Oryzias latipes: one gene and its partner. The protein of the gene in region 1 interacts with the protein of each later gene in a pairwise test. Links are inferred from orthologs where the notes say so. Each region holds a gene or a part of one and is shown on either strand. Other genes may lie near its edges. The genes, in order: gtpbp3 and parp11.

Evidence for each region.
Region 2: the proteins of gtpbp3 (region 1) and parp11 interact in binary tests that used the Homo sapiens proteins (3 or more experiments, as listed by UniProt). The two-hybrid records come from large-scale screens. The link is inferred for Oryzias latipes from reciprocal best matches to the Homo sapiens genes GTPBP3 and PARP11.

The regions. Positions count from the first base shown.
Region 1 is NC_019862.2:14,620,954-14,625,289, forward strand, and holds the start of gtpbp3 (tRNA modification GTPase GTPBP3, mitochondrial), read left to right. Parts: upstream 1-1,362; 5' UTR 1,363-1,641; coding exon 1,642-1,706; intron 1,707-1,921; coding exon 1,922-2,193; intron 2,194-2,523; coding exon 2,524-2,610; intron 2,611-3,169; coding exon 3,170-3,252; intron 3,253-3,747; coding exon 3,748-3,867; intron 3,868-4,336. UniProt on the Homo sapiens protein: GTPase component of the GTPBP3-MTO1 complex that catalyzes the 5-taurinomethyluridine (taum(5)U) modification at the 34th wobble position (U34) of mitochondrial tRNAs (mt-tRNAs), which plays a role in mt-tRNA decoding and mitochondrial translation.
Region 2 is NC_019881.2:15,836,679-15,840,962, forward strand, and holds the start of parp11 (poly [ADP-ribose] polymerase 11), read left to right. Parts: upstream 1-1,202; 5' UTR 1,203-1,477; coding exon 1,478-1,520; intron 1,521-1,627; coding exon 1,628-1,752; intron 1,753-3,078; coding exon 3,079-3,199; intron 3,200-3,279; coding exon 3,280-3,355; intron 3,356-3,843; coding exon 3,844-3,916; intron 3,917-4,284. UniProt on the Homo sapiens protein: Mono-ADP-ribosyltransferase that mediates mono-ADP-ribosylation of target proteins. Plays a role in nuclear envelope stability and nuclear remodeling during spermiogenesis. Inhibits the type I interferon activated signaling pathway.

The DNA of each region.
Region 1 (4,336 bases):
CAGTGAGCCTGGTAAATTATTGAGATCTGAGGTTATAAACTGCTACCTGGATTCAGGCCAAACCTTTTCTGCATAAGTGCAGTCTCTTTTCTTAGCCATCTCTCCTGGATCCTTTGTTTCTGTGCAGCCCTCCCTCCTTACGTGATGCTCAACACAGGAGCATCCATGTGTGAGCAGAGATTGTGCTTACTCACCATCCTTTGGGTTGACAGGTGCAAGGCAACTTATAGGGCACACACATGAGTTCATGTGCAGTCTATGCCTTGTTTTTTATGTTTTGCAAATTGCATGTGCATTCTGTGAAAAGGAAAAAATAGTGGCCATAATGATTCTACCAGTTCCACTGCTCTAAACAAAGTACTTTACTAAAAATGTTTTAAATGTAAACAGTTGGATAATAACATAATGATGATGAAGTAGGTAAAGAAATAAAATAAATAAAATTTAAAAAAATCATTTCAATACAGGAAGACCCAAGCTATTGTTTAACATGTCCTTTGTTATTTGGGTTTTGTTGCAGAAATAAAAGTCCTGTATCATCTTTTTTGTTTTACCAAATTTACTGCCATTATTTAAATTTGTTTAAATTCTGTCGTGAATTTCAATATTATCAGCTAATATATATTTACACAGGGAAACCAGCAAAGATACAAAGCGATAAACGCGTGGTAATTGTACTCGTATCTGTATTTATTTATTTAACCTTTACTTTACCAGGAAGTCCGTTGAGATTACATTTCTATTTTGAGAGAGACCTGGCCAAGAGACCCCCCCTATGGAGTCCTATACTGTTCATAATTAAATAAATAAATATTTAATTCAATAAATAAATATGACGTCATGCAAATACACAGACTCCATACCCCCCCCACCCCCACACACACAAATAATATATAAAAGCTTAAAAGTAAAAAAAAAACAACAATAATAATAATAATACATTGTGCATTCAAAAAAGAAGTGTATTATTTAAAGTGAATTTCATTTTAAAAAAGTAAAGTTTTTAATTTAAGACATGTTATTCTTAATCATTAGTATTTGATAATGGTAAAAACGCTTTTTCTTTCTATTTTATTTAAAAAATAAAATTTAACCACAAGAGTTTAAATTAAAAAAGCAACTAAAGAGCAGCATAGTATCAGACGGACGAATAGGTTAGTGAAGGTAAGGGAAAACGAATGTATTGTTTGTGGGCTTTAAATTCAAAATTTAGCCTGCCGCATATGTTGGCCAGAAGGGGAACACTAAAGGGGTGGATATGTTTTGACGGAAGATGTTTCCCGATGCACAAATGGGCGAGGCTTAAATTTGATTGACGTGTGTTAAAACTAATAGAAAATGAAATGTGGAAAACGTCGACCAATCATTTCCCGGAGGCTGAACATGCGCTGATAGACAGCAGCGTGAGATTTGACAGAGTAGAAGTTGTGAATCTAACAGTGGAAAATGAATAACTGTTATATTAGTTTTGTTTGTCGACATTTCTCTGCTGTTATTGCATTTCCTGGCGACCTTGATTAGAGCTAACCGGGGCTAAAGATGTCTCTATTTGCAACAAAACACGTTATGGAATAAGAAGAAACAACGCGACGAAATGTTAATAAATACGTAACGTTACACTTAGTTAACTAATGTAAAATTATGTTACCGCTTCTATCTATTTTTCGGGAAATTCGTAGAGCTGCAGTCCACACACACAGGAAAAGGTTTGCTTTACATTTATACAGCGTTTTATTTACTGCTTTAAGTCTTTTTTTTAATGATAGAGTGGATTAGATGGGGTAAAGGCTCATAAGTCTCCCTATTTTTTAACATTCAAAATGTTTACTTTGTGTTGAATGTATATCAGCAAGTTATCAGTTAGAAAGTGTATTGAATGTAATTAAAAACTAGAATAACTAAGTACATCTATCCTTTCCAGTCGAGTAACTACTCTACATCAGCTTGTGTCCACCTTTAATGGAGTTCCAGCTGGCCTGGCAGATGCAGACACCATCTTTGCGTTGTCATCAGGTCATGGCAGATGTGGGGTGGCTGTGGTCCGTGTCAGTGGTTCTGCCTCATCCATGGCTTTGAGATGCATGGCGGGGCTGAAGTGCTGCTTGCCTTCTCCTCGGACAGCCCTGTTACGCAGCATAACAGACCCCAACTCCAAAGAGATCCTGGACCGTGGCCTGGTCCTATGGTTTCCTGGTGCAGTACCAACTAATTCAAATGTTTTCGTGTTTTCATTAATGCCTTTAAAATCCAGAAAATTTAAGGTTATGCTCTTGATTTGGTCTGATTAACATTATATCAACAACATACCATCAACTAAAACAACATGATGTTCTCAGTGGGAGAATTGTGGGGCACTAAAACCACCTTACTCATAAATACATATTGTTTATTACCATTTCAATTCTTTAAGATGTTTTTAACATGTTGATTTATCCATCCATAGTCCTGGTTTGCTCAAATCTTTTTATTTGCGAACTAATTTTTAGTATTTGGCTGAAAAGTGCAATTCTTTACATGTTTTAGGTCCTCATAGTTTCACAGGAGAAGACAGTGTTGAGTTCCACATCCATGGAGGTCCTGCTGTGATTACTGCTGTCCTACAGGCTTTGGGTAACAAAAACAATCAGTTTCAATAATACAATCTTTTTTTTTTTAAATTAGGTCTGTATTTAATGTTTTTTATTTTTATTTTATGGGATGCTAAATAAATGTGGTTTGTTCAGCATGACAATTCTTTGAATTGCATGAAACCCCTGCAGTCTCACTCTTGGCCGCTAGAGGACAGTGTTACACAAGTTAAGAGGAGGAATTAGGTGGAAGTTAAAGTGCTAAAAAGCTAAATCAATAGCTGTTTATTTATTTATTACAACATCACAGTATTTATAGTGTATTTTTAAATCAAAAGAGATTTAGTGCTTTTGATTAAAAATGTTGATCAAATATTAAAACCCCCTTTTCCAGACGAGTTGCACTTACCATTGTCTCTTGATGAAATCTGATATTTGGTTGAAAGCACTATGCATTTGCAATCTGGAGAACTAGCAGATGTGCCTGTTTGTGTTCTTAAGCTGAAGTGACATTGTGACCCTGTGTTTGATCGTCTGCGTTTCTGTGATCCAGGCTGCATGTCTCACCAGTTCATGTTTTTGTTTGTGTGCACGTTTTGCAGGAAGCATGCCTGGCATGAGGCCTGCCGAAGCTGGGGAGTTCACGCGAAGGGCTTTTCAAGCAGGAAAGCTGGGTTTAACTGAGGCGAGTGAAATCCATTAAAACGTCCCATGGTGCATCAGTGTGTTGTAAACCTTTAAAGGTTATGAAATCATGAAGGCATTTTTCATCTGAAGCCAAAACTGCAGAAAATAATCTTTCGATTTTCTGTGCTCGTCTTATTTCTGTCTTTAGGTTGATGCATTTGTTGCATTACGCCGGACAAATACTTAAATGTTTGCAGTAAATTGTAATTGACTTTAATCTGAGCTTTTATTTTTGAAAAGGTAAAAAAGATACGTGAAAATCCAAAATAGTTTAAAGTTTTTAAATACAGTAAATGTTAAAGCTTATATTCTGATGTTACAGATGCAACTTACAGTTTCCCCAAGCCATCAGGTGTCAGTCTGGCAATAACAAATTATGCATATAATTATGAATAAATTGTCACTTTAATGGCATCACTTTCAAAATGGTATTGCAAGAATTAAGCATGAGACCTGTGGAGATCAAATGTGATTTTTTTTTTTTCTTTCAAAGGTTGAAGGACTTGGGGATCTAATCCATGCAGAGACAGAGGCTCAGCGAAGACAAGCTCTTCGACAGATGTCTGGAGATCTGGAACGCCTCTATCAAGGCTGGAGCCACAGACTGAAACGAGTAGGTCTTCTGTTACCAGACACTGCCTTCATTCTGAAGGGTTTCTTTCTGAATGACAGTTGTAATGCTTTTTACTGGAGAATAATCCCAATGCAAGAGATCGCTTTGTTTTAAAATGAACCTGGTCTCAGATCCAGTAAATAGTTTGTCCTTTCTCCATTTTGGTTTTAAAAAAACAAAAACAAGGACACATCACTGCATGAAATCACAGTGGTGGGCAGGAATGACCTCCAGAGCTGAAGAAGTCTCCAAATAAAAACATTTCGTTGTTAGACCATCCTGACAGCAGAAACAATTCATACTGCAGCTTTCCCCTCAAGAGAGACTTTGGAAAGAACCTGTTTGTACTGAGCTGCAGGTCAGACCTCACCCCCACACAATGCTTTTGTTGCTTTGAAAAAATCTCTACAGCTGTTTCTAAAGAACTCTCAAGCTTCCTGTTTTTATAGTTCTAGTTCATGTTCTGTGG
Region 2 (4,284 bases), on another chromosome or scaffold:
AATAGTCATGTTATATGCTGTGACATATTTTAGTTGTTCATTGTTCTAAATTGCACTTGGTGTCCCGGTTGTTTAACAACAGTTTTGCTATATACAGTTAAATAGCTTAAACAACTGAATAAATAAGTAAATTGTGTTGCAGGGGGGATTATGTGTGGTTCACTCTTTCCTCTCTCATGTCCTGTGCTAAGATTCTGACTGCCGCTGGGAAGAAGCTGTTGTGGAAGTGTGTCCTGTGTATGTGGATGCTTTTGGGCTGCTGTGTCTGAGGTTGTGGCCTGAGTCCCCACACTGGATCAGTGCGTAGGCATGGTGGTGTCTGTCCCTGAAGACAACAAAAAAGAGACCTAACACACATATTTTGGGACCACCAGATTAATAGAGATTGTTGGATCAAAGTTAAAGACCCACTCTGACAGTCATTTTTTTAAATAATTTTTAGCACGTTCACGTGGCATTTTTCTGATGATAGAAGGCGTGTATAATATAAAATTAGGCTTAAAAATGCATTTCTGAGTATTTATTCATGCAAATCATTGTGAATCAGGAGCAGACAAAAAATGCAGATGATGAAAGTATGTATTTGTGATGTAGTAATACGACGGGCCAGAAGCTCTAAGCAACAGGGAGGGAAAGGGGGGCGGGGTTGCTCTGCGCCAACGTTTCCGCCCACAGCTCAGAGGAAAATGTCTAATATGGTACTGCCGACCTGCAAAACTATTTCCTGGGAAATGGCACTTTTTTTTTTTTTTTTTGCCTACTAACAGTATTATTATAGTTAAAAGACCACTAGAGATGAGTGGGACTTTAAAACAAATGTATGTACCTTTTTAACTAATAGTTGAATAGACAATGGAAGTTAAGATCTGAATTCTTTATCATACTTTTACTGCTGAACTTATCGTTTTTCTGTCTGTGTATTGTTAAATTTATGTGCCATGTTGGCTTTTGGAATGTTCTAACACTCTCTCGTTTTAAGTGGATTACATTTTGTTTTTCCATAGATTCTCGATTTTATTTGTATCACCAAACTTGAAATATATAGTTAAAATCAAATGGTTGTTTTAGCCATCATTAATTGACTGAAAAACACGAATCTTAATGACTCCTCCTAACACTTTCCTTCATTGAAATTTGTGCCTGACAGAACCAGCTCAGGGCATTTACAAGCGGGCGATAGAGGAGGAGCCCACAAGTCAACGTCATGCTGTTGCGTCGCTAAGTAACAAAACCAGGAAGTGAAAGTAAACAACGGATTTGAGGAGGAAAATGATTCAGTCTTCAAAAGAATAGAATGAATGCGTGATTTGGCAGATTTTCTGGGCAGAGAGCACGGCCTTTTTTATATTTCTCTTGAAAAGACACAACAGCAGACTAATAGGATTGTATTTTAAGCTGAGTTGAAGCGACAGTTGCTAATGTGAGCTAGCTTGATACAGCGAATTCCTGTGTTGTTTTGATTTGTTTACAGGATGAAATGTCCCCGCGACTATGGTTTAAACACTGCTCATCAATGTTAGGTTTGTCTAATGTGTCAAACACAAGTCGGAGTCCCTCTCCTGTCATTTGTTTCAGTTACAGATTGCCTTGAAGCGCATTTGTATAATGTTATTTGTGTTCATTTCAGATTTAGCTATGTTAGCCATCAGGTCGTCAGAGGAGGAGTCCCCTGAGATTGAGGAGATGGACACCTCCGAATCCAACTGGTGCTGGTTCTACCTAGCCGAGTGTGGAGTATGGCATATGTTTGAGGTAGTTTACATCACGTCACCTTTTTGGATAAACTTGTCAAAAATATTCAATAACTTGTCAGAAAAAAATAATAAAAAGTTTGTATTTTGTTTTACCAAATTTTCTGAGATCCAAAAGCTTTGGGCAGCTATACTGTCTTTCAAAAACAAAGTATTTAAAGACTCACTCCAATAAAAGTTGTTTGTGTTTTTTTAAACATGTTCTTGTAGCATTTTTCTCATGATGGATGTCATGCATAAAGAAAATTAAGCTCAACATTTTATTTATGTGTATTCCTGTATTCAAATCGTTGTGACACAGGAGCAAGCAAAAAGCGCTGATGGAAAAAGCTTGTGTAGTGGTGACGTAGAAGCCACTATGGCAAGCCACAAGCTCCCTCCCATTCTGATTCATCATACATGTGCGTCTTTGTTTTCCTCATCTCAGCTGGCATCTGGCTCTAAATTGTACGGCTCCGATATTGCTCGCCATCTTTGTTGAACCGCTAATGTTAGGTTGCCGGTGTGATGGACTAGCAGGAGAGTATGTAAACTGATGGATGATGTGAAACGAGATGGGCCTACTCGCACCAACAGTTCCTCCCACAACTCAAAGGCAAATTTCTGAAGTACTGCCGCTCTGCAGAAACTTTGTCCTAAAAAGACAACACAGGTTTTTTGCTAAAAACACCATAATCATAATTAAAAGACCACTGGGAACGCGTTTACAATAGATCAAAAGATGATTGAAGTAGGACTTTAATAATTCTGTTCCTCTTCTTTTTTTTACCCATAGCTTAAAATACTTACAATTTCCTGTATGTGAATTTAAAAAATACTGTGCACTAAATTAGTTAATTGTTTGAAAAAAAAATCTCAACAGAAAAAAAAAACTCATTTTGGAGAACATATTTTAATACAAATGTAGGTTTGTTACCAAAAAGACATGTTTATATTTAAAAATCCTAATCTCCTTTAATGTAATTTTTTATTGTAAACAATAAATTGTAAATTTATTTTGAGGTTATTGATTTCTTACATCAATATCAAAAAAGTAAACAATTTAAAAAAAACGTTTTTTCACTTTCTTCCCCTATTTCATGTGACAATTTAAGTATCTGGTGGTTGCATTTTGAAATAATTTATTTAGGCAATCCATCTCAAATTTTTTTTTTGTTATTTTGAGACATTTAATGAGTATTTTCGTTTTTCCAGATGTAAAAAAATATATTGTGTGGTAAAGCTAAGACATTGGGGGTGGTGGAGTGGGCCTCTTGCAGCGTAGTGGCCCTGCAATGGCTGGCGTGAATGAAATACTATTATTTTCCTCTTTTCTTGTCTCTGTCAGATTGATCCAAGTGCAGCCTGTTCAGTGACGAGTGCTCAGATCGAACAGTGCTACAACAGGAACCAGCGTGGGATCATGGAATTTTACACCGCCAAGTACACGTACAGACTCGACTTCTCAGGTGAGAAAACATACAAGGAAATTATTTGCAAACTGTTATTTTTTTGTCGTTTTCTTATCTTTTATGCAATGGTTTTCCAGTTATGCGACAGATAAACGTGACAACAGGAAAGCAGAGGCCAATTAAACGCTCCCTCCATTCTGCAACTGGCTTCAGGTAACATTTGTTATTTTACTTTGAACAACTGCCTTTTTTTTGTATCTGGTTTTTGTTCTTGTCAAATGAGGAATTTGGTTCACAAAAGAATAAAAGCAGCTTTACAAATTGCATTTCCCTTTTCAATCTGCATTTAACAGAGGTGAGATTATTTTAATTTACTTTTTCCCAATCCCTTTTAATAAAATAATCCCACTCTGACAATCATTGTGTTTAATGGAATCAGTGTGCCATGTGGGTGTACTATATTTATATCTGCAAAATTGATATTTATGGTTAGTAGTGATTATAATCTAAAGAAAAAAAGCAGAATTTTTCGTTCCTTTTTTTATTTTCTAATCAATTTATGGATTAATATCTGAAATCCATTTCCTATATCAACAAATTTTTGTTCTTGTCGTGTTTTTTTACTTTGTTTTTATCGCTGAAGTTGCTTGAAATAAAATAAAACAAACAACAAATCCTTATTACGATGTCTTACAAATCAGGTTTATCTGCGATAACCTCGCCTTACCTGTTCCTTGTCACTGGGAGAGGATCAATACAGACGAGCCTTACCAGGTGAGCAGAAAGATAGCCACATTCAGGTACAGTTATCGCTCTTCTAACAGATTTTTAGTTTTGGTCTAGCTGATATTGAACCAAACACACTCTGTTACAGTTCTATTTATTACGTTTTAATGGTGCGCATATAATGTTGAATTTTTAGCTCAGTTTTGCAAAATGCAAATCAAGTAAACAAAAAGTAGCAAGAGAAGTGGTTGAGCAGGTCGAAGGATCTGTGGTTCGATCCCCGCTACAACTGTTGTTGTGTCCATGGGCAAGACACTTCACCCTCCCTGCCTCCAGTGTTACTCCACTGGTGTCTGAATGCATATGAATGTCCTGGTGATGGTCAGAGGGTCCATAGGCGCCAACTGGCAGCTAGC